Diceros bicornis minor: one gene and its partner. The protein of the gene in region 1 interacts with the protein of each later gene in a biochemical or structural test. Links are inferred from orthologs where the notes say so. Each region holds a gene or a part of one and is shown on either strand. Other genes may lie near its edges. The genes, in order: GNAQ and GRK2.

Region 1 (15,745 bases):
TTATTTATTTTTCCCCCAAAGCCCCAGTAGATAGTTGTTCATCATAGCTGCACATCCTTCTAGTTGCTGTATGTGGGACGCGGCCTCAGCATGGCCGGAGAAGCGGTGCATCGGTGCACGCCCGGGATCCGAACCTGGGCCGCCAGTAGCAGAGCGCTCACACTTAACCACTAAGCCACGGGGCCGGCCCAATCCCATAATTTTTAAATCACTACTTATAGTTTAACAAAGATAGGGGAATGACGCTTTTCATACATTGCTGGTGGGTGTATAAATTGCTACCAACTTTCTGGAGAATAATTTGGCACTATATAGCAAAAGCCTTAAAAAGTGCGTGTCCTTTGGACCAATAATTCTACTCTGCCAAATTTATTCTAGGGACATGGAGATACATACAAAGATTTATACCTAAGAGTTGTTCATTGTGGCATCATTCATAATGAATAAAGAATTGGAAACAACATAAATGTCTAACAATTCAGTAATATTTGAACAGATAGTTATACATTCATACAATGGAACACCAAGAAGCCATGAAAATAATTTTGAAGCATATTTAGTAAATGAAAAAATTCATGGGAAGAGCAAAGAACTAAATAGATAAATGTTTATTATAAAAGTAGCACAACACTGGAAACAAATACCCATCGATAATGGACTGGTTAAGAAATTGTGGGGAGGGCCGGCCCCGTGGCTTGGCGGTTGAGTGCGCGTGCTCCGGTACTGGCGGCCTGGGTTCAGATCCCAAGCGTGCACCGACGTGCCGCTTCTCTGGCCATGCTGAGGCTACGTCCCACGTGCAGCAACTAGAAGGATGTGCAACTATGACATGCAACTATCTACTGGGGCTTTGGGGGGGGGGGGAAGGAGGAGGATTGGCAATAGATGTTAGCTCGGAGCCGGTCTTCCTCAGCAAAAAGAGGAGGATTGGCACAGATGTTAGCTCAAGGCTGATCTTCCTCACAAACAAAAAAAAAAAGAAAAAAGAAATTGTGGGGAATCTGCAGTGGAAAACTATGCAATGTCAAAAAGAAAAAGTACATAATACAGACCCATCTCTGAGATACGTTCTGAGTAGGAAAAGCAAATTACAGAATAGGTTGTATAGTATGCAACCATTTTTGTAACTAAAAGATATATATGTACTTCATATCTATATACGCATAGATATTTCTGGAAGCCTGCCAATAAACTAGTAACACTGGTTGCCTCTGGGGAGGTGAGAGGTGAGTTGGCAGTGGGAGGGAGACTTTCTTCTTGGGTAAAATTTTGTTCTATTTGAGCATTTTTCCATACGTCTGTACAACTTAAAAAATAAATACCAGCATGTACACTATCATTTTAATTGGTAAATAATTTCATATCTATCCATCTGAGTAGAAAAGACTCAAAACCAAACAAGAAAATGTAAATAAGAGTTATCTTTGGGTGGTAGGATTATAGATAATGTTCATTTTCTTCTATGCGTTTTCCTGTATTTTCTGAGCCTTTCCCCCCACCCCAGGACAATAAACACTGACAAAAATTTTAAGAATATAAATGGGCTAGCCCTGTGGCCTGCTGGTTAAGTTTGGCCCGCTCTGCTATGGTGGGCTGGGTTTGGTTCCCGGGTGTGTACCTATACAACTTGTCAGCAGCTATGCTGTGGCGGTGACCCACATACAAAATAGAGGAAGATTGGCACAGATGTTAGCTCATGGCTAATCTTCCTCAAGCAAAAAGAGGAAGCTTGGCAACAGATGTTAGCTCAGGGCAACTCTTCCTCAGCAAAAAAAAAAAAAAAATATATATATATATAATGAGAGGAAAAGGGAAATAAAAAATATATAAAGGTCTGATAGAGGCTGGCCCAGTGGCATAGCAGTTAAGTTTGTGCGCTCTGCTTTGGCAGCCTGGGGTTCGCAGGTTCAGATCCCGGGCGTACACTGACGCACCGCTTGTCAAGCCATGCTGTGGCGGCATCCCATACAAAGTAGAGGAAGATGGGCACGGATGTTAGCCCAGGGCCAGTCTTCCTCAGCAAAAAGAGGAGAATTGGCAACAGATGTTAGCTCAGGGCTAATCTTCCTCACACACACACAAAAGTATGCATATAGATAAAGGTCTGATGGGACAGTGAGTGGGGGAAGGGGCTAGCTTGGTTCTGGTGAGCACTGAGCCTAGTACCTACCAGCCCTGTGTTCTGCAGGACTGGCCTTACTTCCCGGCTAGAGTAGGCAATTATGGCTGCAGTATCCACCTACTGGCTGAGGCCTGCACATATGTAATTAGTTTTATTACTCTAACTCAGCTGTTCTCAATCTTGCCTGCACATTGGAATACCTGGGGTCATAAAAAAAACACTAAAAATATACCAAGCCTCACCCCAGACCCATTAAATTCAAATATTTGGGGTGAGAATCCAGCACCCAGTATTATTTAAAGTCTCCCCAGGTGGTTCTGATGTGCAGCCAAGGTCAGAACCAAGCTGTAAGCCGAGGCTTTAGTTGAAAATGCAAACCCTCCTGCAAGGGTGCTGAGATTTATTATCAGTAGGTTACGAGCTTCCTGAGGATAGGTAAAAAAGGTTAAATGAACCACTGATACTTTCCAAAAAAAAGGGGGACAAATTCTGAGACCAGGAAAGCTGGAGACCAAATATAATTTCCTCCAGGACTCACTCAGTTTAGAGGAAGGGGGCATCAGGAATAGAACATTGGGAGAAAACTCAAGTTCTAGTTCTGCTTTGCACTTCCTGGCTGCAGAACCTGGATCAATCTCTAGACCCTCTAGGTACGACCCTGCTGTAACATGTGCAATTGGATTAGCTCAGAGGTGTTGAAAATAGCCTGCAGGAAGAGGAAAGAGGAAGAAGTGCGGGGCTTCCCTGTCCCTCCTCCCTAATCAGTGTGTCTCCACCTTTGCCCTTGTATAGATTGGCTTCCAGTACGCTTTATTTTAAAGGAATGATTCCTAGATTTAAAAGAAATTCCCTGGATCACATGGCTTTTTAGGTCTCTTTAGTCTACAGTCTTTGCTTCTTAATGTCAGCCAAATAGTGAGCCTAAAATATTTAATATTTTCTGCATTTGTCTCATCATTTTTTGGGGTTTGATACCGTGTGTTTTGGGGGAGGCTGTGGAATCTTCTACTGCTTCCATTTGGACAATCAATGGCTTTTCAACCCAGTTCTTTTGTTCCAATTCCACAGGCAGAAATCATGTATATTTTTAAGTTGTAAAGAGTAGATAATCCTCCATAGCTCCTTCCTTCTTCAAAGTGACAAATTCTCCACTGGTGTGCCAAGTCATGTACAACTTCTATGCCAGGGCCAGGATAGGGTGAGGCAAGGGAGGCATTTACCTTGGGTGCAAAATTGAAGAGAGCACCAAATATGTTAGTAATCAAGATACATAATATTTTAAGGCAATATTTCTAAAAAATAATGCAAAAATCCATGAAGAACAAATTATAAAAATTTTAAATAAAGGGAGGATTACTAATAGTTTTGTGCCAAGCCATATTGGTGCCTCAGGCAAAAAAAAAGTGCCTCACTCACCTCACCCTATCCCATGCCCTATTCCACATTGTGCAAAGCACCCCAAATCTGGCTCTTAAGAATTTGTATAAGGATGGAAAGATGGAAGTATGTTGATGAATTTGGAAGGGGCCTTTGGAAATTTTTGTGGCTCAAACAGATTTTGGTAGGCCTAAGAGATAGGAAAGGAAAGAAAAAATAAAACAAGTGGGATACCTTTAGATCTAATTTTGTGGTCAAGAAGAGATATTTTATATTCCAATTTAAAATTGAAAAGCTATTAGCTTTCTTACATCTTGATAAAATTCATAATGGCAGACTGAAAAATTTACAAGGATAGTAACTCATTGAAAGGTTAATGTTAAGACCATTTCAATCACTGAGAAGGCAACACAACAGACACTTGTGTATTTTTCATCAACATGTGCTGTTTCATCAATTTATCACATATTGAGCAATTAACAACTTTGACTATATATTATGTCATGATCTCCAATATATAACATGCACACGACTTGAATTTGTGTCAGAAATACCAACTTTCATATAGTTGATTTAGGTGGAATTAATACATGTTTCCATATAGGTCTTGAACAGAAATACTGCATCTTCAGCTTTCTTGATATCCTACTGATGGCTGTTTTTCCTTGGTGAACTGATTTGAGGCAAGATTTTGAAGCACAGGCCAAGGAACGTTTTACAGAGGGAGCCAAGCTTTAGTGGGTACCATCTGGCTAAGAAAAAAAAAAAAAAAGGCAGACTTCATGTGGCCAATATATGTCTTCTTTGATTGGAGCATCTCTTTTTCATTCATTCAACAAATGTTTCTTAAGCATCTACTACTACCTCCCAGGCACTATTCTAGGTACTGGATTCAGGAGTGAACAAAACACAAAAATCCCTGCCCTTCTTGAGCTTTACATGAGAAATCATCAAAGGGAGATGAGTGCAATGGGATAAATGATTATTTGATTTACAAACACGGAAACAAAGAATGGGAAAGAAATCAATTGCCTCGATCAACTACTTGGTTAATTCCCAAATCCAAACCCCATCCTGCTAACTGCCTTAGAGGGCCCATCTGGAATGCCCATGTGTACGGTGTTACTGAATGGGGAGTATACACTGGTCCAGGTTATACAGCAATGGGGAGTAAATTAGGTGGTGGGAATGGTTGTCGTCTGGGAATGTAGGCCTGGGATTTGCCAGATCTTGAACAGGAATTGAAATCCAGATTTCTGTGTGAATGTCTTGATGTTTAAGTTCTGGCAGCTAATTCAAAATTTTCAGTAGCACTGTTAAGTTAAAAGCAACACTTCTTCAGCCCAAAGACCACCAGTTTGCACCCTGGGTCTTAGGTGGGAGTCTAGCAAAGCAGAGAGTCGGAGGTCTGGTGGCTCCCACTTGGAGCAACTCCAGGGCAGGAAGGAAACTCCTCTACTAGCGAAGTCATCCTTGATTCTTTGGGTGCCAGAAGGATCTGGATCATGATTTGGGGTGACCCGATATGTTGCTATCTGATTTTGGTACATATTCATTCATTCATTAAACATTAGTAAATGCCTTCTCTGGCTGAGACATTGGTCTACTTAGCTTAAAAATAGCTCCCATCTGGACAACTTTTTAGGGACTTCCAGTCTGATGGGACTTTGATAGCCTTTACACTGTGAGGTACAGTGGCTCCTGTGATAACGGTAACCTGGGATGAGCCCAGAATAGGTACATCGGATTGGTCAGAGCATCATTTGGACGCATTTCTGAGGTGGTAATGGAAAGATGTCATTGAGGTCCTCTGCTTTATCTAGAATATCTGTTTGGTGGCTTTGCAGGGTGAGTGTTTTCTCTTTTGGAAGAAGGTATTCTGTTTCATGCCTGGTCTTTCATCTTCAACATGTTGACCCTGAAACCCTTTTTCAACTAAGAATCATCATCTTTCTGCTATGAAAGCTGTCCTCTAGGTGGTGCCATTTGCAGCTCTCTCAGTCTCCCTGGGCCTGCTCGCCTGACTTCCCCACCAGCAAGGCCTCTACTCCTTGGCCAGACAGCTGTGCCAGCAAGCTCTCGCAGGATGTGCAGTGCTGCAGGCTGACTTCTAATTGTTCTTTCAGGTGACCCCTACTCCTTCGGGCTGCTTTGAATGGATAACTGCTCCTTCTTCTGAACTCCTCCAGCAATCCATTCTCATACTGTATGTTAGCAGCGAGTGCTTCCCATTTCACATTGTTGTTTATTCTTCTGTGCATGTGGACTGTCTGCCCAAATAGATGATTAAGCCTGTAAGGGCCTTGTCTGCCTCAGGCGTCTGGCAGAGTGCACTGCCTGGGACAGCAGTCTGTGAGTGTGTGTGCTGTGGATGCAGGTTCTGGTATTCTTTTGTTTATTCATCACTCACTGAGAAACTGTTGGGCTAGGCACTCTTTTGGGTGCCCGGAAAACAGTTATGAAAAACAAGGTCTATGCTCTCAAGCAGCTCTGAATCTCATGAGAGAGAGAGAGGAAGGGAGCGAGAGAGAAATCGACAATTACAGCCGTACAGTGCACGCTGTGAACAGCCACGCTAAGTGACTCTGGGAACAGAAGTGCAAGCTTTTCCTTCCCCAGGAGCTCCTTGTAGAAGAGTATGGCCTTTCCACTCTTTTACTCTAGGATCACTCTTAGAGACTCAGCTATGCCTTTTGGTGCTTTTCTTTTCCAGCACCCAAGGAACAGGGCCATATGATCATGGGGATAGGTATCTGTCTCAGGATACCATAGAAGAGGTGACAGTCTTCCCATTTTCCTCTGGTGTTCAGTGCTCCTAGGGTTTTGTGGTTGGCTTTTCAGCTATCTAGTAATTGCCCTTGAATCCTCAAAATGGTTTATCATCTTACTGGGGGTGATTTGGAATTGCTGATTTACTGTTTAGTGGTGTGGATACACATTTATTGAATACCTATTCATTCTTTAAGACGCATCCAAAAGTTCCCTTTCCTGTGAAGTCTTCTCCAGTTCTCCTGAACAGAATGAATTATTCCTTCCTTTTTATACCTTTATATTGTTACTTCTATGCCAACTTTAATATAAATTGATTTCATTTTGTCTTTTACTATAGCTGTGCAAAGCCTCATAATGATGTAAGACTATAAGCCTATTGAGGGCAAGGACCATATTGTATTCATCTTAGTATCCTCCCTCTTCCTGCACTTTTACCTTAGTTATTTACACATAGTAGGCAATGAATGTTTGTTGATTTCATGAACTGGGACTGGTAACATGATCCATGTTTAGTTGCATATTTTAGAGTATTTGCTTCTAAAACATGGTCCACAACTGCAGTAGTTTCTTCGTAGATTTTGTTTGCTTGACTTAGGTTGTATGAATATTTCCTTGGCAAATCCTTTCCAGATATATATGCAAAGGTTTCTGGATAGATCTGGGCTCAGACTTGGAATTTTCTTTTCCTGTTTCCTTCTTGACATCCGTATATGGCTTTATCACTGTCAAGTGTTGGTTTTCCTTACGTCCTGATTTCTTCCCAATACTTGAAGGAACATCCTTCTATTGATTTGTCTTATCCATTCAAATATCTAAGTGCCAAGGAATGCCCCTGATGCTAGGGATACAGGGGTGACAGAACAGACTTTGACTGTATCTACAATCTATTGAAACAGTTTAATTCCTTTCATCAAAAAATAGGTCAATTGAGTCAAAATGGATTACCTGATAGCTTCATGGCACAGTTTGAGAGACATTTTCAAAAATCTCAGGGGATCCTTGGCTAGGAAACCAGACACTTGAAGCTTCCTGACTGTCATGTTATCTTCTGGTGTTTTGTCTCTCTCTGAAGCTCACATATATCCATCTATTAGAGGATGCAAACTTATAATTAAGTTTTTCCCCTGAAGCCATTTAAAATTTCTGCATATTGAATTTCAATCTTCAATTTCATTGGTCATTTAATTTTAAACTTCACAGCAAGTCTAGTGGCTTTTTGTAGGCATTCACATGAAGGGGGGTGAGGGTTGTCCTTTCTGCTCTTTTGGCCAAGGTGAAATGTAATCATTTGTAGGCCAAATATCCTTTTAAAAAGGGAGCCTAAAATACAGATCTTATGTCTCGATGACTTGATTGATCTAAGCTCTGGCTTAGAGTGAGTGTGTGTGTGTGTATGAAGGGTAAAAGGTAATGGCAAATGAAAGAAGGTAGTCACACAGCTGTGGTTCAGGAAGCTTATGTGCACTCTTGACCTGTGGCAATAGTACAATCATGACCTTACTTTACACCCTGGATCAGCAGGTTGCACCAGAGACATCTCAGAGAAAACACAAAATGTGTAAAAGAGATTCCATTCTTAACATATAATTTACTCTCAAGACCTCAGGTTCCATTAAGGCAGAAAGCAGTATGAGTTTCACGTCTTGTAGCTATTAGATCCAAAAAAAAAAAAAAAAAACCTGAATGAGCAAGGAGATATTTTTGGCCATTTATCAGTCGTATATCACAACAAAATAAGGAAACAACAGTTTTAAGTAGTCTGCAACGCAAGTGTAAAAACAAAATACTAGATGAAACTTTGCCCGGGCGATCTTGGCTTTCCCATTTCTCTCTTTTGTTCTTTCCTTTTATTTTATTTCACATTATTTTGCATTTTCCCAGAAGTCATCCATAATTCAGTCTCGGTCTAGAAGGGTAAATTCGATTACTTGGCTGTTAAACATCGTGTGCCTTTTCAAAAATAGAGGAACGCTTGTAAAAAACAAAACAAAACAAAAACACCTTCCATGGCATGAAAAGTTGGAAGCTATCAGGAGGCTCTTGGAAACCTGGGCAGCTTCATTTTTCTGCTCAGGATTTAGATTTCTATCTCCAGGAACTTTGTGGCCAGTTTTGCCTGTTAAGCTCCCCCCACCCCTCCAGCAACCAGTGACAATTCCTTTTCCCCAGTCGCACTTCAAGAGGGTATCTTATTTTCTGCGACTGAACTGGGGTCAGAGGTGACGCGAGATACTTGCTAACCGCATGGCGTTTTAGGAATAGAGACGGCAGACAACACTGAAGTGGCTGAGAGCGGCCCCGGGGGCTTGACCGGCGCTGCCGGGAGGGGGGTCCCGAGTGCCGCGGCCGCCCGCGGGGAGTAGGACGGGGGTGCGCGGCGCCAGGGGGGCAGGGGGTGCGCGGGGCCGAATCCCGCGACTTCCCGGAGGGCCGGGGCCGCGTTCCGGGGCTGGTGGGCTGAAAGGCAAGCGGAGGCCGCCATATTCCTGCTCCACCACGCCCGGGCGGCCGCCGGCAGCGGCAGGTTGGCGGCGGCCCCGGCTCGCGGCAGCGGCCGCCGGTCCGGGCTGTGGCGCGGCGGCCCGACCCCGCCCCATCCCCGCCGGGGGCGGCCGTGACCGCTGCGCCCGCGGACCTCGCCGAGGGTGCGGGAGCGGGAGGCGCCCCGAGCCCTGGGGGCCCGGCCCAGCCGGGGAGCAGCGCGGGAGAGGCGAGAGGCGCACGGGGAGGCGCGCGCCGCGGCTGCGAGCCCAGGAAAGCTTTCCAGGAGGGGCCGGGCGGCACCGCCTCCCCGCTCCCCTCCTCCTCCTCCTCCTCCTCCTCCTTCTCCTCCCCCTCCCGCCGCCGCCGCCGCCGCCGCCGCCTCCCTCCCGGATCTGTGCTCCAGTTCAGAGAAAGAAGAAAATGTGTGTGTGTGGCGAAGGGGAGGGCGAGCACTGAGCAGCCGCTCCGCGCCTGCAATCGGGGCCGGGGGTGGGCGTCTGGCGGAGGCGGAGGCGGAGGCGGGGAGCGCGCGGCGGCCGGGCGAGCGGGCCGGCGAGCGGGGTTTGCGCGCGAGCCGGGCGGTGGGCGCGGGCAGGGCCGAGAGCGGCCGGAGCCGTGCCAGGCGGCGGCGAGGAGCGGGCTCGCCGGGCGCGGGGAGCCGTCGGCGGCCGCTCGCTGCGAGGTCGCCCCAGTGGATGTGCTCTCGCCGCCGGGCGCAAGGCTTAGGGGAGCCTCGGCGGCGGCGGCGCGGGGGGCGAGGCGGGCCGCCCGTTCCCGGGGAAGGAGGCGCGGGCGTCTGAGCGAGGCCGGGCGCAGCGGCCTTACCTCGCGCGCCCCCCGAGCCAGCGCCCGCGGCCGCCTCCCGCGCCCGCCTCGCTCCTCCCGGCGGCCCGAGCCGCCTGCTCGCGCCGCACCGCCGGCCCACCTGGTGGCCCCGGCCCTGGCCGCGGCCCCCGCGGCCGTTCCCCAGGCTCGTCCGGGACGCGCGCCCGGGCGGCGGGGGCTCGGCGGCCACCGCTGCCTCGGGGGAGCGAGGGCGGGAGGGTGTGTGTGCGCGCGTGTGAGCAGGGGGTGCCGGCGGGGCTGCAGCGGAGGCACTTTGGAAGAATGACTCTGGAGTCCATCATGGCGTGCTGCCTGAGCGAGGAGGCCAAGGAAGCCCGGCGGATCAACGACGAGATCGAGCGGCAGCTCCGCAGGGACAAGCGGGACGCCCGCCGGGAGCTCAAGCTGCTGCTGCTCGGTGAGTACAGCCCGGGGCCGGGCGCCGCGGGCCCACCCGCCGGGCCTTTGCACCCTCCGCCTGCCACCCTCGGTGCCCCGGGGCAAGTGCCCTCCGCGGCCCTCGCCCCCGGGCGCCGGCGGCTCGCCCCTACCCTTCCCGGGCGCGCCCCCGGCCACTACCCGCACCCGCGCGCGCGCGCGCGTACACACATACACATACACAGGCGCGCGCGCAAAGGGGTCGGGGTGGCCCTGCCCCGAGCCTCGGCGTGTGCCTTTTCGTGTCCCTAAAGGCTGTGTATCAGGGGTGCGCGTTTATCTGCTGTGCTTCTGCTAAATGGCACATCATTTCGGGGGAGAGGCGCGGAGGTGGGAAGGTGGCAGAGGGGTTGAACTTCCAGTGTGGTGGCCGCAGCGCTCGGTGGGGTGGTGGAGTGGGGAGTTGTGTGTGTGTGGCCCGAGGGTGGCGAGCGGAGCCAGGGTACGTTGGGGGATGGCGTGCGGTGGGGTGGCCTGTGTGCATCCATTATTAGTGCTTTCTGGGTTCAGGAGGGAATGGTGGAATGGTGGGCAGACTCGCAACTGGATTCTCCAGGCAGTGATGATGAGGGAGCCGAGTGGTTGGCCCTCCAAAGAAAGGAGGCTTGTGTACTCTGGGGGCGGGGAGGCGAGCCCTAATGTGTCACATAAGTGCTGTTCTCCAGCCACCAGACCACCGAAAGGAGAGACCTAGAAGAGTTTCTTGACCAGTGGATGGTGACAGGCGTGTTTCTCGTCTGCACCATTTCTTCTAGATAAAGATGAGGGATAGGGGAGCGTTGTGCTGTGTGTTGACAGCGACGAGTATCTTTTGTTTAATGAGGCAACCCAGATGTAGGCCTGAATTCACAATAGTTACTACTGAAAACCAGTACAGCCTCTCAATTACTCCCGTGGAAACAAATAGAAACCTTTTGTTTAAAACGGACAGCATTTTAATATTTTTGGAATCTGGGCTAGAAGGAAAACGGAAAGTATACAGCAAAAATTTCCCTTTAATCTCTTAAAAAAAACAATCCCACATTCTGCCTTAACACTAAGTTAGCAAGAAAATGCCATTTCTCAGATAGGAATTCTATTGATTATTATCTCTGAGAGTATGTTCAGAATGAACGATCAGGGTTCACATACAAGCCAGTGTGACAGCTCTGAGCTATTGTGGTAGGAAGAGCAAACAGCTTTGCAATAACAGGCCTGAAAAATGTCTCCACTTGTGTTCTGGATATTTGGTGTGTAATAAATACGTTTCTCAGACATTTCTGTAAGAAAAGGACGTTATATTGTCAGGATTTGAGAAGCATGCATTTTCTTTCTTATCTTGAGCATTCCATCTCCTGGTTCAAGCAACCAGTGGCCTTTGGGACTGAACTGCTTATGTACTGGATCATTTACAAGAAGGAATGAAATATAATGATCATGGAGAGTTACAAATGGTTAATTCACATGCAGTGCTCTATGTCTTCATTTTGAAACCAGATTAGATAAATGTGCACATGTTTATAAAGAAGAGAAGGCAGAATGCTGGATAAAAGAGGTAGGCTTTAGGGAATGAAGCCAGGGGAAGGGAAAACTGCCATTGGAAAATGAAGATCTTTTTATTTTTCGTTTTTATTCTCATTTTGGGCTACTTCTAATGGCTAAAACTGTGTAGTTGAATCGGTTTTCTGAATTCTCAAGATTGAGAAGAAAATAGAAGGGGCAGGAGAAATGTATATAGAGTATTTAAGTACACGATTAAGGGGAAAAGCATGTGTGTTAGAGAGACTTAAGAACAGTTTTTCTATTTCTTTTGCCCTGTTTACAGTCTTTGTTTCTGTTTTGCTGTGAATGGGGCATTTGAGGTCTCCCAAGCCAACCCTATTGCCCAAAATGTGACAGCTCTGGGTTCCTAGCAGCTGTGCGTTAGAGCCCAGGGGGTTTGTCTGTCTGGGGGCCCAAGGTTTGAATGTCTAGGAGGAGGATTTTTGGGGAAATACACATATATGGATGCTTAACTACAAACTGTGTGTTTAAATAACATACTGTGCTTTAAAAAATGAACTTGGAGATAATTTTATGAGAAAAAATTAAAGTAAAACAGTTTTACTGCTAGTGGTGGTAGTTCGGAGAACTTTTGTTTTCTGTTGTTAGATTTCAGTAAGGTTTAATACAGCCCCATCCCCACCTCCAAATATGCTCTATTGGAAGTGGTAGAAAAATATGACATTAATTTAGCACCTACACTCATTAGTAACACTTAAAATTTATAAGGCTTTCTGTTAGAAACATTATCCCTAGACATCATGTAAGAATTGCTACAGCTTCCTGTTCTGGGGTGTGTTGCTTTTGTAACATAGCTTCTGCAATACCTCCACTATTTATGTAGTAGATGCTATATACTAATTGTAGATTTATGTGTGCTCATGAGCCTGTGATTGCACGATTTCTTGAGTCCAGGAGAGAAATGATGGTTGACTTGAACCAGAGAAGGTGTTGGCAAGGGGTTTGAGAAACTCCCGGTGTGTTCCTTTGATGAGTGCACTGAATCTTCTGGTTCCTTCATTCTTTTAAACCGTACCTATCCAAAGAAGGTCACAGGATGTATCCTTGCATAGTTGAAAGTTTTACCAATATTTTTAACTACTTTATTCAAATTGAGGAATCACTCATATTTACATGAAATTCAGTATGAAATTATTTTCAAAGTAAATTTTAGTTTAAGGCATGACACCATTTTGATTCAGATAGATTTATCTGGCAGGCATAAAAGTGTGGACCCTTACATTTATTCACATAATTATTTAATTTTATATATTGATAATATGGAGAAATTAGAAAGGGAAAATAGTGGATACCTGCCTGGAAGAAAGTATGGCAGTAAAATTTGGGTTGTTTTGATATATATCCAGCAATTATGCCAATGTGTTCCAAATTCTATAGTACTTACATATTTTGATTTTTATTCTTTTTTTTAAAAAGGAACCCAGAAACCTACCGCCATAAAATATCTTATTAAATTCTGAATTCTTTTCTTGTTTTCTTTAACTTATTCATTCTCTGAATTCATTTTTTTTTAGTGTTTATTTCTTTTGATACCTCAAGGAAGACTTTGTATTCTACATATATGCAAGAGAATATTTTAACTTGGTTGATGTTTTTATATACTTTCTGGGTGTAAAGTACATTATATTTTCTTTAATTGATTAATATTCATTAATATTAACTAAATATTTCTATTGGTGGTACATGGGTCACACTATTTAATATCAGTATGTCTTTAAGTCTGTATAAAACAAGTGGTTTTGAATGCCTGCCTCCAGTTGCAATATTCATCCTGAAATTTTTTTCAGTTCCTTGAAGATACATTTTTTTTCCTATTAACCTGTTCTTATTTTACATGTTTTTGAAATTTGTACTCTTCAGATTTTAATCATCAAATAGGAAGATTTAGCAAACTCTGTTTATTGATTAGATTCCACCTTTTGGAAACAGGCAAAGTTTAGACCAGTCTTAGATGGAAGAATATATGTTGTTGATCTTTTAACTGAATTGCATATGTGATTATAGATTTTCTTCCTTTTCTAGACTGGAAGCTTCTGAGGGTAGCGATTGTGTCTGTGTTGTTCACTATTAAATCCCAGCTTCTAGCACAATGTCAAACTCATAAAAGGCTCTCAATAAATATTTGTTGAATGAGTACATTTACTTATGACTCTTCTGGTAGAAATTGGGACGTTAAAATAATGAATAAATCATAGAGACACGGAAATATGTAATGTTTGTATTCCATGGCAGATAAAATCATAATCTTCTTTAAAAAACTGTATGTAACTCTTTGAGCCAATTGAATACAAATGCATTCCAGGATCGGAAGTGTTACTGTAAGATGTTACATCACATATTGACCCAGTGTATTACAGTTCGTGCTGGGTGCATTTGGGAATGATACCGGTCATGCTTAAAGTATGAAAGTTTAAAGGAAAAAAAAAAAGAAACCATTCCATATCTTGATTACTTTTTTTCGTGTAGAAGCTAGTTTAACTCTATCATCTTTTGCCATAAATGTTTCTCCATGATACACTCATCGGAGTGGACTTTTAAATTCTCTGGAGCACAGGTGATAACAGATTTTTGCGATTTACTTATACAGTTACGTGAGGACAACCACAGTGATTAAATACAGAATTTTGGAATTGCAGGTAGAACCTTTTTAATTTGAGGGGTATACATTTGTACTGAAAACTGTACAGTTACAGAGCAGGAAGGGACCTGGAAGGCTGGGAATGCTATGGCAAATTTAGACTGTATGGAGAGTTCATTCATGCAGGTCTGGATACAAGCACCCGCCCCCCTACCCCTCCTGGAGTTCACTGGAGGAAGAATGGGGATGTTGATTGCCTGAATTAACCGTGAGGTTAGTGGCTGTCTAGGATGGCTGCTCAGAACCACAGAATGAAAGCATCTCTCTAAAGCAGCCCTAATAGCAGCATCTCCCTGGAAATACCAAAATATGGTGTTTATGAAGCTGCTTTAAGACAAACCAGTTTTATTTTTGCTACTCTTTTAGCTTCCAAGTGTTAATTATGTTTCTAAATGTCAAGATTTATTTGAATGCATTTCCTGTTTTTTTTTTTTTTTTGAAATAAAGTACTTCTAGTTTATATCTGAAGAGTGAAGTGGAACATCCCTCATAAAATTAAAAACTGTAGCTCTGAGCCGGCCCCGTGGCTTAGCGGTTAAGTGCGCGCACTCCACTGCTGGCGGCCTGAGTTTGGATCCCGGGCACGCACTGATGCACCGCTTCTCCGGCCATGCTGAGGCCGCATCCCACATACAGGAACTAGAAGGATATGCAGCTATGGCATACAACTATCTACTGGGGCTTTGGGGGGAAAAATAAATAAATAAAATTATAAAAAAAAAAACCACTGTAGCTCTGACTATATAACAAAGCCTTCAGAGTAAGATTTTTGCATTGAACCGTGTGGATTCATTGTCTAGGTCTGCCATATAATTGTCAATCCTGTATTGACGTGTTAGTTCTTCATATGGGAACTTTGGCACAAATGAAAACCCTTCTGAACAGTAAAATTGTCCTGTGTATATCTATTCAAATGTTTTTAGGTATGTTTAGAAAGGAGAACCAGAAGAAGAATTGAGTAGCCATTTTGTTTATTACAAATAAATTTGATAGCCTCTTTTTCATAAATAAACAAAACAAAACCCACGCTGTGCTTTATAAGAGATGGCTTATGTTCGGTTTTCAGAGATGCCTATTAAATATAGTTATGATTTTTATCACAGATGAATTTTTAAGGACCTGAAACAGCTTTCGCAGTTGTGAGGCTGCGTGCTATGCTAAACTTAGCAGGAAAAAAGGAACAGATTTTTCTTCATGATCCAGGCAAACTTATGCTTGAAAAGAAATGAACAAGATTTTCCAAGGATGATTATGATTCCAGCTTTCAGATTAATTTTTCTTTAAGGGGAGGTTATTAGTTCTGTTGATATTAGTGGAAATGTTGATTAGGTGCTGTAGAGAGAAAATAGGGAGCTGACAGGGAAGAGAGAGAAGCCATTTTAAGAAGGTTAGGATTGCTTTCTCCCTCAGAAGGTAGAGGGAATCTGTTTCCTCCAGACTGTATGTTTTGGGTTGAGGGAAATACAAGTATTTGTAGCAACAAATAAAGTCTAATTTCCTGGTTGAAGGGAGAGGGCAGTGACATTTTTCAAAAGGAAACTTTTATA
Region 2 (15,249 bases), on another chromosome or scaffold:
TACTGAGTGAGTGTCCCCAGTAGCTCGGATACCCAGAGGCCTATCCCTCCCTGATACAGTTGCCACGTTCCCCAAATTCACTTTTTCCACTCATACATCTTTCCCCTTGGTTCTTGTCCTAATGCTACCAGCCTTTTTTATTTTTTCTTGCCTATTTCCAATGTAACCTGGATTCAGCTATGAATTAACCTTCCTAAGGCATGCACAGAAATCTTCAGTAACCCTCCAGGGTCAGGTGTCAACTCATCCTGCCACTGGCACCTGTAAAATGGGAAGCACCATGGTTAGCATGTGGCAGGTGCTTCTGTCTCGAGGCCTCGAACTGGAATCCTCTGTGGTCCTTGGGCTTGCTGTGTTTAGCCTCGCCACAACTATGAAAATTCATGCTTCCTTCAAACACCTCTTCCTCCAGAAGCCCTTCCTGTTTCTCCTCCAACCAGAAGAATTAACTTGGACATTCTGTGCCTTTTCTAGCCAACGACAACATAGTAAAAACAGCTGACATGTAATAGGCCTCACTATGTGTTAATCACTGTTCTAAGCACATACATGTAGGAACTCATATGATCCTCACAGCAACGCTACTATTTATTTATTTTTTGTGAGATCAGCCCTGTGCTAACATCTGACGATCCTTTTTTTTTTTTTTTTTGCTGAGGAAGACTGGCCCTGGGCTAACATCCGTGCCCATCCTCCTCTACTTCATATGGGATGCCGCCACAGCATGGCTTGCCAAGCAGTGCGTTGGTGCGCGCCCGGGATCCGAACCTGTGAACCCCAGGCCTCCGCACTTAACCGCTTGTGCCACTGGGCTGGCCCCTACAGCAATGCTACTACTATCCTCATTTTAAAGGGGAGAAACTGAGTTACGGACATTAAACAATCTGCCCGAAGTGACTTGGCTAGTAAAACCTGGAGACTCAGCTCCGCAGTTGGTCCTACCCACCTGGCCTTCTAGCCTTTGTGTACATGTGATCTAATGTCCTGCTCACACCCAGCCCCAGGGGGCAGGTGTCTTCATTCTACAGATGACAAAGCCAAGGCTCAGAGAGGTGAAGTGATGGTCCTAGAGTCAGTGGCAGAGGTGGGACATATGTGAACACTGGGCCTGGGACACCTGGGACATCTCTCTCGTGTCCTGCTGAGCATCCAGCCCTCTCCCATGGCACCGTGAACTCCTTGACGGTGAGGCTAGCCTTAGCCAGTTCTACCTCCCCCTCATCTGTCCCAGGAGTGGGGGGAGAAGGAAATTTACTGAGCAATGTAAGGTGGGTGTATGGGATGGGAGGCAGGACCGACTTTATGGGTGAGTGACCATGCAGTCACACAGGGCCCTGCACTCAGAAGGACCCCACACTTAGCTTAACACTCTGCTGTTGCCATCTTGAAATTCTTAGTAGTATTTGAATAGGGGCTCCGCATTTCATTTGCAGTGGGCCCTGCAAATGATGTAGCTAGTCCTGGGGCAGGGACAATCCCAGCTCTCCTAGGCCAGCTCTGTGCTAAGTGCCACTTCAGTGGCCAGCAGCAGAGCAGGCCTGGCACTTGCTGGCTGGGGAGACCTGTCCTACCATCACCTTTCCAGGTGCCCAGGCCCAGAAGGAAACCTCAGCACCAACACTCATGTGTGGGCTGGTAACAGTGAGAGCAGGCACCTGAGGTCGAAGAGCGCCTGGATTTTGCCCTCGGCCTGGCGCTGTCACCTAGCTTCTGCCTCCCCCACTTGCCCCATTCCAGAGCGCTACAGGGGGTAGGCAGGTCCAGTTGCTATCCGCCCAGAGTGTGCCATGAGAGTGCTAGGATGGCAAGACAGAGGGACAGAAGCAGAAAGGGACACAGACACAGACACACGGAGAGAAAACACCCTGAAACACCCAGAAAAGGAAAGACAGAGAAAGGGGGAGGGGAGAAGAGAAAGGAAAGGAGAGAAAAGATACCATGGAGGACGCCTAGAGAGAGACATCAGTGAGGCCCAGGATACTCCACGTGTGACAGTGGCCACTGGGCAAGCCATCTCCCCCAGCCCAACACTGCACACACATCATCTCTGTTAATCCTCAAAACAATCTAGTGAAGCCAGGCTGGAGGCGCTCCATGTACAGATGAGAAAGGCAAGGCTCAGAGAGGTTAAGCAACTTGCCTAGGGCACCCAGCAGGGGCAGTAGGAGGTGACACTAGCATTTGACCCCAGGTCTTTTCCACACACAGACTCCCTCCCCCCGACATGGCAAGTACCAGTGGCCACAGCGTGGGGCCGGTGGGGACTACGAGACCATGCCTCGGACACTCCCAGGTGAGCTGGCAGGGTCAAGGCACAATCGTGCGCGACACGAACCCAACAGGCTTCAGCGCCAGGCTGTGCCGCGGCCGACGGCGCGCACGCGCGCTGGGGACGGCTCCAGGAGGGCGCCGGGGGCGGGACGCTGCGGAGACCGTGGCGGGGCGGGGCGAGGCCAGGGGCGGGGAAGGGGGCGGGGCTGGCCATGGCCCGGGAGGGGCCATGGGCGGGGCCGGGGCTGGTTTCGGGGGCGGGGCCGGGCCGGGGCCATGTCCGAGCTGAGGTTCTGAGGCGGAAAAGGATACGGGCCCGGGGCGGTCGGGGACTGTGCGATCTTCCGGAGAGTTCCAGGGAGAGGCGCTGCTCCCGGGAAGCAGGTCGGGCGGAGCCAGCGGTCAGGAAGCCCGGCCCAGGGTTGTGGGCCGGTGCCTGCGGGCCGAGGGGCCAGGGGCCGCCGAAGGTCCTTGGACTGTGGCAGGAGGGGGCGAAGGAATGGCGTCCTGGAGATGTGGGAGCCTCCTGGATAACCAGGGCCCTTTCCTCCCTCAGGGCCTCCGCACTTCATTTTCCACATGCCTAAAAAGCTCTCTTGTCTGCCCCTAACAAAACTGCTTTCCTCCCATCCTTCTGGCTCTGGCAAAAATGCCCTTCCTTAGAGGTTTCCCTGGCTTCACCTGAGGAGGCTCCTGGCTCTTAAATTAACTTGTCACCTGCCTCATAAGGATGTTTTGAGCATTAAAGGAGATGATCCGGGTTCTAGGCACAGTACCCTGCACAGAGTGAGAACCCAATAAATGTCAGTGGTTATTATTATGTGTAGGTTGCTGGTAAATTCACTGCCTGTCTCTCCCTATGTTGGATCCACAAGGTCAAGCCCTGGCATGTAGGAGCTCGACAAATCTTGCGGCATGAGTGAGTGAGGGAATGAAGCGAACTCCCAGCATCCTAGCTGGAGCCTGGCACTGTCTGGGCCCCCGCTGTCAGAGAGGTGTCTGTCTGTGTTAGGCAGGAGTTTCTCCCGATCAATCTGGACACCCCTCCTGGGGTCAGGGAAGCCCCCAAGCTCATCCTCCTGGATCTTCAAAGCCCAGGACGATGGAGATGGAGACGTGAGGGGCTGCGGTGCACTCCTGGGCCTTGGCACGTGCCAGTCCTCACTCACATTCACATGCACACAATGTCAAGTTCAAGACCTTCCCCATTCCTCCTCTGCCCTCTATGACCTTTCCCCAACCCTTCCCCTGACCTTCTCCTGAGTGCTCCACCTCCTCAAATCATAGCTCTTGCCGGGTTAATTGGAGGTATATGTTTAGGGGTCTTCTTCCCCACTGGACTGGGCCACCGCTGAATCCTGTTTCTCTTTGCAGCCCTAACCTAGTGCTGAGTGCCATGCTGGTTGTGAGGGATGCAGTAGTGACCATGACAAACAGGGGCGCCAAGGGAGAGCCCTTGAGCAGGAACCTTTCAGCCCACGAGATGCAGGGTGAGCAGGAGCCCACCTTGCCGGAAAGGAGGGGAAGGACATTCCAGACAAGGGGAATTATGAAGTCAGGACCCCAGAGGTGGAAATGAACTTAGCTTGTTATAGTGACAGAAGGAAGACCAGAGAGACTGGAGACTAAGGGGCCCGGGCATGAAGTTGAGTTAGAGAGGTAGGCAGGAGCCAGACTGTGCGGGTCTTACAGGCCACAGAAAGGGGGCTGGGTTTTATCCTAAGTGCAGGGGCAGCCATCGGAGGTGGGGTTTGATTTAGGCCTGTAAAAACTCTGACTAGAGGAGAGGCGGGGAGCCCTGAGAGGAGGCTGGTGCAGGCATCAGCACCAGGCGGGAAGTGATGGGATTCGGATCGGGTTTAGCAGGGCACAGTGGAAGGATTCGGAGTAAACTTTGGAGACAGACACACCAGGGAGTCGACAAGACAGGCTGGATGAGAGCATGTGTATGTGTGAGGCAGGGCAGGTGAGGGAAGACAGGAATCAAGGATGACTCCTAGGCTTTTGGAAGGTGGAGGAGCCACGACTGAGATGGGGAGGCGGGAGAGCAGCGGGTTGGACAGCGGCTGGGTGGTGGGAGCAAGAGCTCAGTGTGGGACGCGTTAAGTTTGCAACACCTATTAGTCATCCAGGGGAGATGCCAGGTACTGATGTGTATGTGGGTCTGCCAGCTGGGCAGAGATGGGGTTCCACCCCTCTTTCACTCCCAACATCCCAGCCGGAGGCTGGCACAGTCTGGGCAATGACAAAGGTTTGCTGAGACAAGGAATGACTGAAGCCAGCCTGAAAAGACAAGTTTACAGTTGACCTTCCTTCAACCACCAGAGGGCAGCACCATCCAAAAAAACCAGCCTCCCCAGGCCATGGACTGGCACCAACCTCTTCCCAGCCCAGGGCTTCAGGAGTGGCTTTCCAGGATCCCAGGAATCAATGAGGGGTGCCCTGGACACTGGCTCTTTCCAAAGTCCCCAGGCTTCAGGCTCACCAGGGCTGCAGGTTGGGCTGTGGGTGGGAGAGGCAGTGTGGGTTTTCAGGCGGTGGGGGGAAGGTAGGGCCACCTTCTGGAGCAGGATGGCTGGCATTTCAGAACCAACGGGGATTCTGGTTTGACAAGTTCATCAGGCAGAATTTTTAAAATAGGAGCTGCTCCAGAAAACCCAGGTCAGCGTGTGGCTGTAATCAGAGTCCCAAAGAGTTGAAGAGTCAGGGCGGGGCAGGAGGGAAGGTGAGAGGCCTCCTGTTGTGGCATCCTCATGTGCCTCTGGCCCTGTTCTGCCCCAAACTCCACGTGCCACCTTGGGCTGAGGAGCTCATTCACTCAGTCAGTCATTCATTCATCAAACATTGACTATGCCTTTCTGTGTCAGGTCCCATGGTGGGAACTGGGGGCAAAGAGATGAACTGGGAGCATCAGTTACAGTGGGAGATGGTAAATACTTTTTTTTTTTTTTGGCACACATTAGCATTTCTGACATCAGGGTGCATTTTCCAATCCATGCAAACATGTTATAAAGCTTCACACACACCCAGTGTCTAAACTGGAAATGATGCATCTTGCAGTTGATGATGTTTTCAAATCAAGGAAATAGGTGGTAAGTGTAGAATTGGAGATGCACACAATGGGGGTCAGGGTGTTGGGGAAGGCTACCTGGAGGAGGTGGGTCTTAAAGGATGAGCAGGAGTTAGCCAGGAAGAGGGCACACAGAGGGCTTCCAGGCACAGGGAAGGGCAATGGCACAGAGGTAAGAACTGGTGGGTGGGCTGGTAGGGGGACCCTAGGTGCAGAGGATGGTGGCGACACAAGCTGGAAAGGGGAGCAGGGCCCAGGCATCCAAGACCCTGACTTGCAGGTTAAGGAACTTGTTCACCTGATCTGCTTTGGGCAGAGTGGGGGTGTCCCCCATGCTCAGCAGCTCCAGAAGGCCTCGAACACTGCTTCTTGGTGCTAAGCAGGCAGTAACTCCATGAGATCTAGATGTGGGAGCGGCATCTCTGGTCAGGGCCTGTATCAGGGCAGCAGCCATGGGGATGCTGAGAAGCAGACAGGTTCAAGAAGACAGGTTCTCAGGAGGCCAGACAAGAGGGTATGGTGATAGATTAGGGCAGGGGGAGAGAGAGGAGTCAAGGATGATGCCCGGAGATCTGGCTTGGGTATCTGGGTGGATGGTGGTGTCGCCCACTGAGAAGGGGACCTTGCCATCTCTGATGTGCTCTGGTTCCAGACTCTGCCAACGCTGATCTCAGAAGGTAGCCTGAGAGGTGTACAGGGAGGGGGGTCCCTGCTTTGCAAAAGGGTCCTGGTTACTGGCCCACAAACTGTCATGAGGCTTGGGCTCCATATGCCCGGGACTGGGAGGGGATCTTGTCACCTTGGAAAGCAGAGAGAGGCTCTAGAGAGGGGCATGTTGAGATAGGGGGTGCTGCTTTGAGACACATGGATCCCCCTACTGTGGGCTCTCAGCAGAGGATGTTTCCCTTACCAGGCAGCACTGAGACCCCTGTGCCCTCCCAGGCTAAGAGAGGTTTGAGCCCGTCTTGTGGAATCATGATGATTCCATCATAATGCCATGGATGGCCTGGGGTGCAGGCCAGGACCTGGGTCTACAAGCCAGTCCAGGGAGGGTAGGGGTTGGTTCAGGTTGTTTGGTCCCGAGTGGGAGTCCTGGGGTCAGGGTTGGGTCTGGAGCAGGAGGGGTAAGAACTGACTGGGCTAAGTCTGGAGTTGTCATGTCCCAGGTTCATGGCCACCTGTTAAGGGTTCTAGGTCCAGTCTGGGTCCTGATTGGATGTCCTGGTCCTGGGTCCCCGTCCAGAGTTCTTGGTGTTGGGTCTAGGACCCTGGTCTAGGGTTGACAGTTCAAGTCTGGATCTGGGCCCTGCCCCCAAGTCCAGGGTTTAGGGTCACGGTAGTGGTCTGGACCTGGGGTTGGAATCAAGGTTGGGGTCAGTAACCAGGATGGGATCCAGGTCATGGTCTGTGGCTGGGATCAGTGTTTGAGGTCATGGTCTAAAATCTGGATCTGGGGTCCTGTTGGGGGTCTGGGGTCCGTGTCAGGGTCTGGCTGTGGAGTTGGGGACCCCAGGTTGTGATCCAAGGTTGTGGTCAGAGTCTGAGGTGGTGGTCCAAGGTTTGGGTCTAGGGTCCTGTTTGGAGTCTGGGGTCAGGAATGTTATCCAGGTCTTATGTCACGTGGTGGACTGCGTCCAAGGTCAGGGAGTCAGGGGTTAAAGCCAGGGTCTGAGACCCAAGTCCCTGGGATCATGTTCTGAAGTGCCAGTCTGGGGTCAGGGCCGTGGTCTATCCTGGAGTCTGGGATCCGAGCTGGGATCCGAGTTGCGGTCAAGGTCTGGGTCTAGGGCCTCCTTCGGTGCCGGGTCCCTGTCGTGTTCCAGGTCTGGGGTCAGGGTCACGGCCCAGGCCCGGGGAGGGGTCGGGTCTGAGTTGGGGTCCGGGCGGCCACGGGGTCAGGCTCGGTCCGCCGCACGGCCTCCAGGGGGCGCCGCCGCCCGCCCGCCCTCCCGGCCCTCGCGGGTTCGCTGGCGCTGTGCGCGGCAGGCGGGGCCGGAGGCGGCGGCGGCTCCGGGGCGGCGGTGGCGGCGGCGGCGGCGGCGGCGGCCCGACTGCAGTCCCGGCGGGAGCGGAGCGAGCCGGGGCCGGGCCCGAGCCGGCGCCATGGGGCGGCGCCGCCTGTGAGCCGCGGCGAGCGGAGCCGCGGGCGCCGAGCGGGGCCGGGCGGGCGGCGGCGCCCGAGGCCGACGGAGCGGCCGGGCCGGGCCGAGCGCGCCGAGCCGAGCGGAGCGGAGCCGAGCCGAGCGGCGGGAGAGGCCGCCGCCGCCGCCAAGATGGCGGACCTGGAGGCGGTGCTGGCCGACGTGAGCTACCTGATGGCCATGGAGAAGAGCAAGGCCACGCCGGCCGCGCGCGCCAGCAAGAAGATCCTGCTGCCCGAGCCCAGGTGAGGCGGCGCCGGCGCCGGCCCCGGCCCGCGCCCGCGCCTGCGCCCGCGGGCGCCCTGCCCGGCCCCCCGAGCCGGCGCCCGACCCCCAGCCCTCAGCCCCAGACCCCCCAGGCGCGAGCCCGGGACCTCTCAGCCCGTCCACCGCCCCGGGACCCGCAGCCCCGAGCCGACCCCGCAGCCCCAGGCCCCGTGCACCTGAACCCGGGCGCCCCAACGCCGGGGCTTTCCTGCCCCGCTGGCTCCTCGAGCGCTCCGTACCCCCCGCCCCGCTCTACCCCCCTGTCCCTTCCTCCACTCTAGCTGGCCCTCATCTCTGTCGGCCCCTGCTCCTCCCTTCTCCCACAGGGGCCCCATGCCTCCCTTCATCCTCCTCCGGGCAGCCCGTGCTCCCCGTGGGGTCCCCTCCTCCGGCTGCCACCATCTACCTGGCCTGACTCTATTGCCCATCCTTTTACTGCCTCTATTCTGGGCACCCCCCTTGGGGTTCCACTACCCCTACCCCTAGCCCCCTCTGGTCAACACTTGTGTGAGATCTGGGGGAGACAAGTCTTCCGGGGTCTTCTGCACCCTTCTGGTCGGTCGCTGGCTTGGAGTGGGGTTTGAGAGTGCTTTGGGGGCCAGGGTGGTGGTGAGGAGCAGGGTGTGGTGTGTGCCCCATCCCAGTGGGAGAGACGCCCCCTGTCCCTCTCCCCTCGCATTCCCCCTCTGGTGGGCCCTGCCTGTGGTGCCCTGTGGGTGCTGTTTGCAGGGGAACATCCCAGAACCCTGCAGCAGCTGGACCAAGGCTGCCCCCTCTCCATGAGACATCTGATGTCATCACACCTGGTATCAAAGTTGAAACTGTTCAGGATGTAGTATCAGAAGTACACAGGATACGGACGATAGCTGAGGCTTGTCCAGCGTTTTATGGCTTCTAGAGTATTTGCTCGTTGTTTGAGCCTGACAGCAGCCCATGAGGAGGTAGGACAGGTGTGGTTTTGTCCCCATGGCACAGGTGGAGAAGCTGAAGCCTGCCCAGTGTCACAGGTAATCCAGAGTGGTGCCTGGCCCCCAGATCAGGGCTTCCGGCTTCTAGTTCCATATTGTGTCCACCACTCTGGCGTGAGCCGGGGCCTGGCCGTTCTGCATCTACGAGAGCCGTGTGCCCACCACGAGTCCTCATGTCATGTGGCCAGGCCAGTCCCAGCACGACCTCCATACCTGCCTGAGAGTTGGCATGCTGGTGCCTGGCTGGCCCGGGAGCCTGGGCCTGTGCTAGGTGTCATGGTCTTATCATGTGACTTTGGGCAAGTCCCTTCCCGTTTCTGGGCCTCGGTTTTCTCATCTGTGAAATGTGGATGGTGTGAAATAATGGCTGAGACTGTGCGGCGTTCTGAGTCTTTGAAGCAGGGCCCGAGGCTGCAGGGGGTGCCATGCTGATGTCTCCGGTTCCCCCGTCCATGCCTTGTTCTTGCTGGGTTTCGGGTTGACTGCACACCAGGCCTGGGAGAGGAAAATGGGTCTGCATTTTGAAAAGGTCGTTAGAGCCCTTTTTTTCTAAGACATTTGCAGTCAGATTTCTCAAAACAGGAACCAGACTGACTGTTAGCTGGGGGCTGTCCAGGGAGCGGCAACAGTTAGAACAAAAATGAGTTCAGAAATGACAAAGCCACGAGGGAGGAAATGGGGGAAGTCAACCTTTGGGGTTCTCAACGGCTCTCCTTGGTGGCCGCGGCCTTGAGACCCTCCTGCCGGTTGGAGTTCTGCAAAGTGTGAGGCGGGGCCTTTTCTGGAACTCTCTGCCTTTGGGTAATCTCTCCCCAGAATGCATTGCTCCTGATGGGGCCCCGCCTTGGGTTGGCCATGCAGGTGTTAGAACCCTGAGAAACGAGGCGTTCCTCTTTTCCTGTCCCCTTTACCATCCGTGGTAGTGATGGTGGCGACAGGAGTGATGGTGGAAATTATAATTTATTATTTATTTTGACATCTGTCATCTCAGTTGATCCAAAACTCAACCTGTGAAGTTGGCAAGGCTGTGCCTTGCGTGTAGTAGTTGCTCAAGAACTATCGGGACTGTGTGGTGTCAGAAGCCAGGTGGACTGCGAGTTTTAGGGGAACAGCAGGAGACGGGAGCCAGGTGTCATGGGTTCTCATATAGGGTCACCATCTGGCAGCACGACCTTGGGCAGATTGCCCCCATCTGTGAGGTGGACCAGAGGCTCTAGCAGTGACTGACAGTGGGCTAAGGACAGGGAAGGGCCAGAGCCACTCTGTGCAGCAGGCCGGGGCTGGCCCTGGGAGTCCAGGTCTCCTGCGTTGGAGGACACGTCACCCTTTGCTTTATGCTTTGCACACCCAGTGGGTCAGGTGCCTCCTGCCCTGGGAGGTCATCATGACTGTATCTTGTGTTTGCCTGGCACGTCCCAGTTTGCTTTTTACTCCATTTTATCCTTTTCACAGCTGTGGGCAGCAGGCACAGCAAGTGGTATGCTCCCATTTAATAGTTGAAGCAACTGAGGCTCAGAAAGGCGGGGGGGGGGGGACACACTTGGTCACAGAGACAAGCTAGAATTTGAACGCGGGTCTCTGCACCCCCAGGGGCTCTCTCACTGCTGTGCTTCGTTTTCTCCACACACGCCTCTGCACCTCTGCTCTCACCCCCTCCATGTTTTGTGGAATGTGCCAGCTGGCCTCCCTCCTCTGGGGAGCTGGGGGTCTGGGGAGGTGGCCTGGAAGCAGCAGGGCAGCCCCCAGCGCCGTCAGCTGCCTGGGTCTCAGGCCCAGCCCCCTCCCCCTTGGCTGGGACAGAGCTGAGGTGCCCTGGCAAAGCTGGTGCACGGAGCAGGCAGTTCCAGGCCTGGGGTCATGTCTTCCCCCCACTCACAAGGTCAGAGTGAGGGAGGAAGGCCACGGTTTGTCCATGACAAGGTGCCATTTGGAGTTGTTCCCACCTTGGGGTGGTCCATCTTGGCAGCCTCCCTGTGGCTGGTGCCCGGCTTGTGGCTTGGCTGGGAGCTGGGGCTGGCATCTCAGCTCTGACTTCGCAGGGCTGGGGAACGGGAGCTGTTGGGCACAGTGCCACTTAGAGTTGGCACAGGGGCCTCCCATTCTGTCACCCTATAGAATCCAAGGAAACAGACCCATTTCTCAACCTTCTATTGGAAGGAGGCAGCATCGTGTAGCTGGAAGACAGGAGAGCTGGCTTCTAATCCCGCTGCAATACCAGCTCATGTGGGACCCAGGCATGTCCCTTAGGCTGGCTGAGCCTGCCTCAGTTTCCACCTTGGTAAAACGAGAGGGCTGCACCTTCACCGATGACCTCTCGGGGTCTGTGGTCTGTGCCTCTCCCTGGAGGAGCCGTTGTCTCCTTCCCCAGCAGTGGCTGCAGTCCTGTAATTATCGTCATTTTCTTAATATGACCACGGAGCCCTTGTGTAATTAATCTCTAGGCTCCCGGCTGAGGAGCCCGGCCTGGGCGGTCCCAGGAGATGCCCCTGCCCTCCCTGGTGACAGTGGCAGCCCCAGCAGCAGATTGTCGGAGCCGGGTGCCTCTTGCAGCCTCCCATTTTCTTGGCTCTTTCCTGGTCCCTCCCCCACCAGGGATTTCCTCCTTCCAGCCCTTTCCTGGCTTCCCTGTCTCCCAGACCCCCCACTCTTCCTCTACTGCTTCGTCGTTCCTGTTAACTCTTTGCCTCCAGGACTTCCTGCTCTTGGTTTGTGGGGGGAAGGGGTGCAGGGGAACGTTTTCTCCCTTCCTCCTCCCTCCACTTCTCCATCACCAGCAGAAACCCTGCTGTTTCCAGCCTTTTTCCCTTACCCAGAACTTTCCACTCCAGTAGCAGTGTTCTCTCCTCTCCTGCCCCTGGAAACAAGATTATCTTTTCGGCAGGCAGTCATTCCCTCTGGGCCTTTGAAGCCCCCGCTTTCCCCAGGAATGAGTCTCTGGGCCGTCTTTTCCCATCTGTTCTCCTTTCCAGAGCACGGGTTTCACATTTTTGCCATTAAGTTGCTCGCTCACTCACTTACCCGCCCGCCGTTCCCTCGGTAAATGGATTTGAAGGGAGCGTGAGCATTACAGGTTGGAATCCGTGCAGGGGAATATGGGCTCTGTCAACCCGGGAATAACGTGTCCTATTAATGCACGATCAATTCCTAGTAGTAAATTCCCGGTGACGTCAGCTGTAGGCACACTCCACAGCGGGCGGTTCCTCCCGCCCCGGGCACCCAGGTCGGCTTTGCAGGCGGACTGAGCGCTCGGGGGCTTGAAGGTTCAGGCTGCGTGCACGTGGCTGGTGCTTCCAGGATCTTGTGCTCGTGCCTCGGAACAAACAGCAGAGCCTCCATCACACCTGCCCTTTCTTCCTGTGGCCCCTCCCCGCTCTCCTGTGGCCCCACAGGCCAGTGTCCTCCGCTGCTCGCATAAGATGGGATTACACTCAAGTTATCACTAATCTGTTTCCATTAAGGGGCACTAAAAATGAGGTGTCTGGCTGCAGCTTTTTTCTAAAACAATAGCATTCCTTCTCTACATCGCTCCTTTCTGCAAAGGGTAGCGTCTACGCCGGCAGAAGAGCAGGGTTTCAGAAGTGGGTCTTCTGTGTCAGCAGCTCTGTCCTCTGAGGGGGGAGTTCTCTGACTCTGGAGGCTGTCCTGGGTTTGGGGTGGGGGACAGCCTCCTTCTGGGAACTGCAGGGCAACGAGCCCTGGAAGTTTGTTCTTGGTGCATTCTAATGTGGTGGCGGTAAATTCCAGGGTGTGGTGTTCATGTCATATTCGTGTAGAAGCCATGACATATGACAAGGCCGCCAGAGTGTCTCTTCCCGCACATCCTGCAGGGAGCCACTCTGAGGCCGCCGTGCCGTCGGGAGCCTGGGTTGCTGTGGACATTTGCAGTGGGCTTGTGTGTGTGGTGCCTGGTGGGGGTCATCTTCTCTTCCAGGGCCGAGGCTTGCTCCAGAGTTGACGGTGTGGGTTGGGCTTTCCCATTTGGTGTGTGGCCCTGTCCTCGGGCTCTGAGGATATTGTCAGCCCCAGGAAGAGTCATTGAGAAATGTTAATAAGAAGCCCCAGGGGACTTCCTCCTACCACTGCCACCTCACTGCCATGTTTCCTGGAAATGCCACAGAGGAGTACCTCAGCCGTGGCCACAGCCTCTGTTGTGCTGGCTTGTTAACCATCATCTCCCAGGGCATAGCAGTTCCCAGGGTGGCTGCACCAGACCCGCCAGGCCCGTAGCCCCCGTGCCAGCTCGCACCATCCTGGGATTTCGTGGCTCTGGCATCCTTGTCACACAGGAGCACAGGAACCATGGCCCCTGGCCTGCCAGATGCCAGCTAGAGCTGCCCCAGCCCGATGGGCTCCCGGGAAGGATGCTGCACAAGGCCGGGGTCACCTGAGACCCTGCACCCAGCTCTTCCTCAGAGGTTGAGGGGAGGCCTCTGCCTAGCGGAGACGCTCTCTCAGGGAGCCTTGGATGTTTTCTCGGTGTGGGACTCTGGCCAGCTGCTCAGCTTCTTCTAGCCTTGATTTCTTTCCCATCAACGCGTGTGTGTTGGCTTCTGATCCCTGCAGTCCACATAAGCTACAGTCTATGACCCTCAGTGGGCCCAGGCCAGCCCGCCAGGTCGCTGCGCCACAAAGCGAGAGACTGCTTTTCTTCTGAACCACATGGCGCCGAATGGTACCGGAAGTTCTCCCCCTCAACCCTCACCCCCTTCCTGCCATCCTGTCACCCCAACCCGCACTCGGGGCTGGGAGGGAGGAAGTGCTCTCTGCCTCAGCGTCAGGCTGGGCCTGCTCAGAGCAGCTGCGGCCAGAGGGAACAGCCTAGGCTGTAGGTGGCAGTGCCAGGCAGTTCCCTGCCATGGCGGGGTAGGCCTTCTGCCAAGGCGCCCTCCATGCTTCGTCAGGGCAGGTATCAGGCTCTGCCCACTGGGGCCCGCAACTGAGCAACAGGAGTGCATGAGGCTGGTCTGTGAGCAGAGTGGAGTTGCAGCCGCTCGCCTGGCTCAAGGAGTGCTCGTGGGCCCAGCTCCGGTCAGGGCTCCCCGGTCAGGAGGCCACCTGGCCATAGGCCCTACCCTCTGAGGACATGGCAGATGTGAGACAGAGACCCAAACAAGGCCATGTAGCTTATGATCACGTTCTAGAAGGAGACGCAGGCTGTGGAATCCCAGAAGGAGGGCTTCCTCCAGGAGGGGGACACAACCTGCTGGCCCTCACAGTGAGGCTGGCATCTTAAGAGAGTTCTCCTTTGCTGTGTCCTCTCAGGCCTTTAAATGGCCAGCGCGGTGGTGGCGATTCAGCATTTTGTTGACATCCTCATTTTACAAATGGGGAAACTGGACATTTAAAGTTTGTGACTTGGCCTGGCCTTCCAAAGGGAGAGCCATTTGGAACCCAGGCCTGGGCTCCCATCCGACCGTGAGAGCAAAGGCGGCCCCGAGGCCCTTTCCCAGAGGGACTGGGAGCCTTCGAGTCCTTCTGGTGGGGAAGATGCAGACACTCGGCTTTCTTGACAACCCAGAGTCGATCTGGGAGCCACATGCTCCTAGATGTCAGGGTTGTTGACCTGGGTGGGGGCAGGAATGCTGCTCTGGGCTCGTTGCCACTCCAGGCTCCACCAGTATCAGGGAGCAGGTTTTGGAGACAGAGGGGACCTGGCGCAGGAGGCTGCCACCGCCTCCCGTGCCAGCCGGTACTTGCCACCCTGACGGGAGCTTCCCCCGTGACACATTTTTCTAACCTGTCCACTCCCTCAGCCACCAGCCCCGTGGGAACGGACAGGAAACCCTCACGTTGCCGCTTCGGGGGCCTTCCCTTCAAGGGCCCTGCTCAAGTCTGACCTCGTGTTTGGTTGGGGGGGGTTGTTTATTTTATTTAGAAAACATTTTTTTCTTTTTAAGGAAGAAAGTAGAGCACTGTGGGCTGGGAAGAATGCCGCGGCCATCCCGTGCGGGCTTCTGAGGGAGGCGGGGTCTGCCTCCGAGGCCACTCGGAGCCCGGGCCTGCTTCCTGCTGTTCCCTGGGCTGAGCCAACAACAGAGCCGCCCAGAAGGGAGCAGGCTCTGCCACCAGCGCACTCCCCAGAGAAGAGACGGTTCCCTGCTCTCTCTTTGGAGGCAGGCCCTCCCCAAGAGCACGTTTCCTGGTGGGGACCTTTGCGTGTCCAGTTCCAGGCTGCTCTGGAGGGCCGCCGAGTCACGTGGCGGGAAGCGCTCCCCAGCTGCCGGCTGGCATTCCCACTGCGTCGCCTTTGCCGAGCTGGCGCCAGTCTTGCTGGTTCCCAGGAAGTGAGTTTGGGGCTCAGGAGAGCTTCCCAGGGACTATTGCAAGGGCCGTGCCCAGCTGCCTGGTGGGGTCATCTGTGACAGGCTGGGGTCACTTTGTCATCTGCATCTGCCTGTCTGGACATTCCATCTGGCCACACCTGACCACCATCTGATCATCCACCCCCATGGAGGATTGACATTTTGTGATATTTTTTCCTTCTTCATTGCTTTTTCTCATCCTCTTCCATAGACCAAAATGTCCTGGAACA

What was found.
Region 2: the proteins of GNAQ (region 1) and GRK2 form a complex in vitro, tested with the Homo sapiens proteins (3 studies listed by BioGRID). The link is inferred for Diceros bicornis minor from reciprocal best matches to the Homo sapiens genes GNAQ and GRK2.

What each region holds. Positions count from the first base shown.
Region 1 is NC_080761.1:16,146,142-16,161,886, forward strand, and holds the start of GNAQ (guanine nucleotide-binding protein G(q) subunit alpha), read left to right. Parts: upstream 1-9,737; 5' UTR 9,738-9,862; coding exon 9,863-9,998; intron 9,999-15,745.
Region 2 is NC_080770.1:6,231,619-6,246,867, reverse strand, and holds the start of GRK2 (beta-adrenergic receptor kinase 1), read left to right. Parts: upstream 1-7,409; 5' UTR 7,410-7,614; coding exon 7,615-7,727; intron 7,728-15,249. UniProt on the Homo sapiens protein: Specifically phosphorylates the agonist-occupied form of the beta-adrenergic and closely related receptors, probably inducing a desensitization of them. Key regulator of LPAR1 signaling.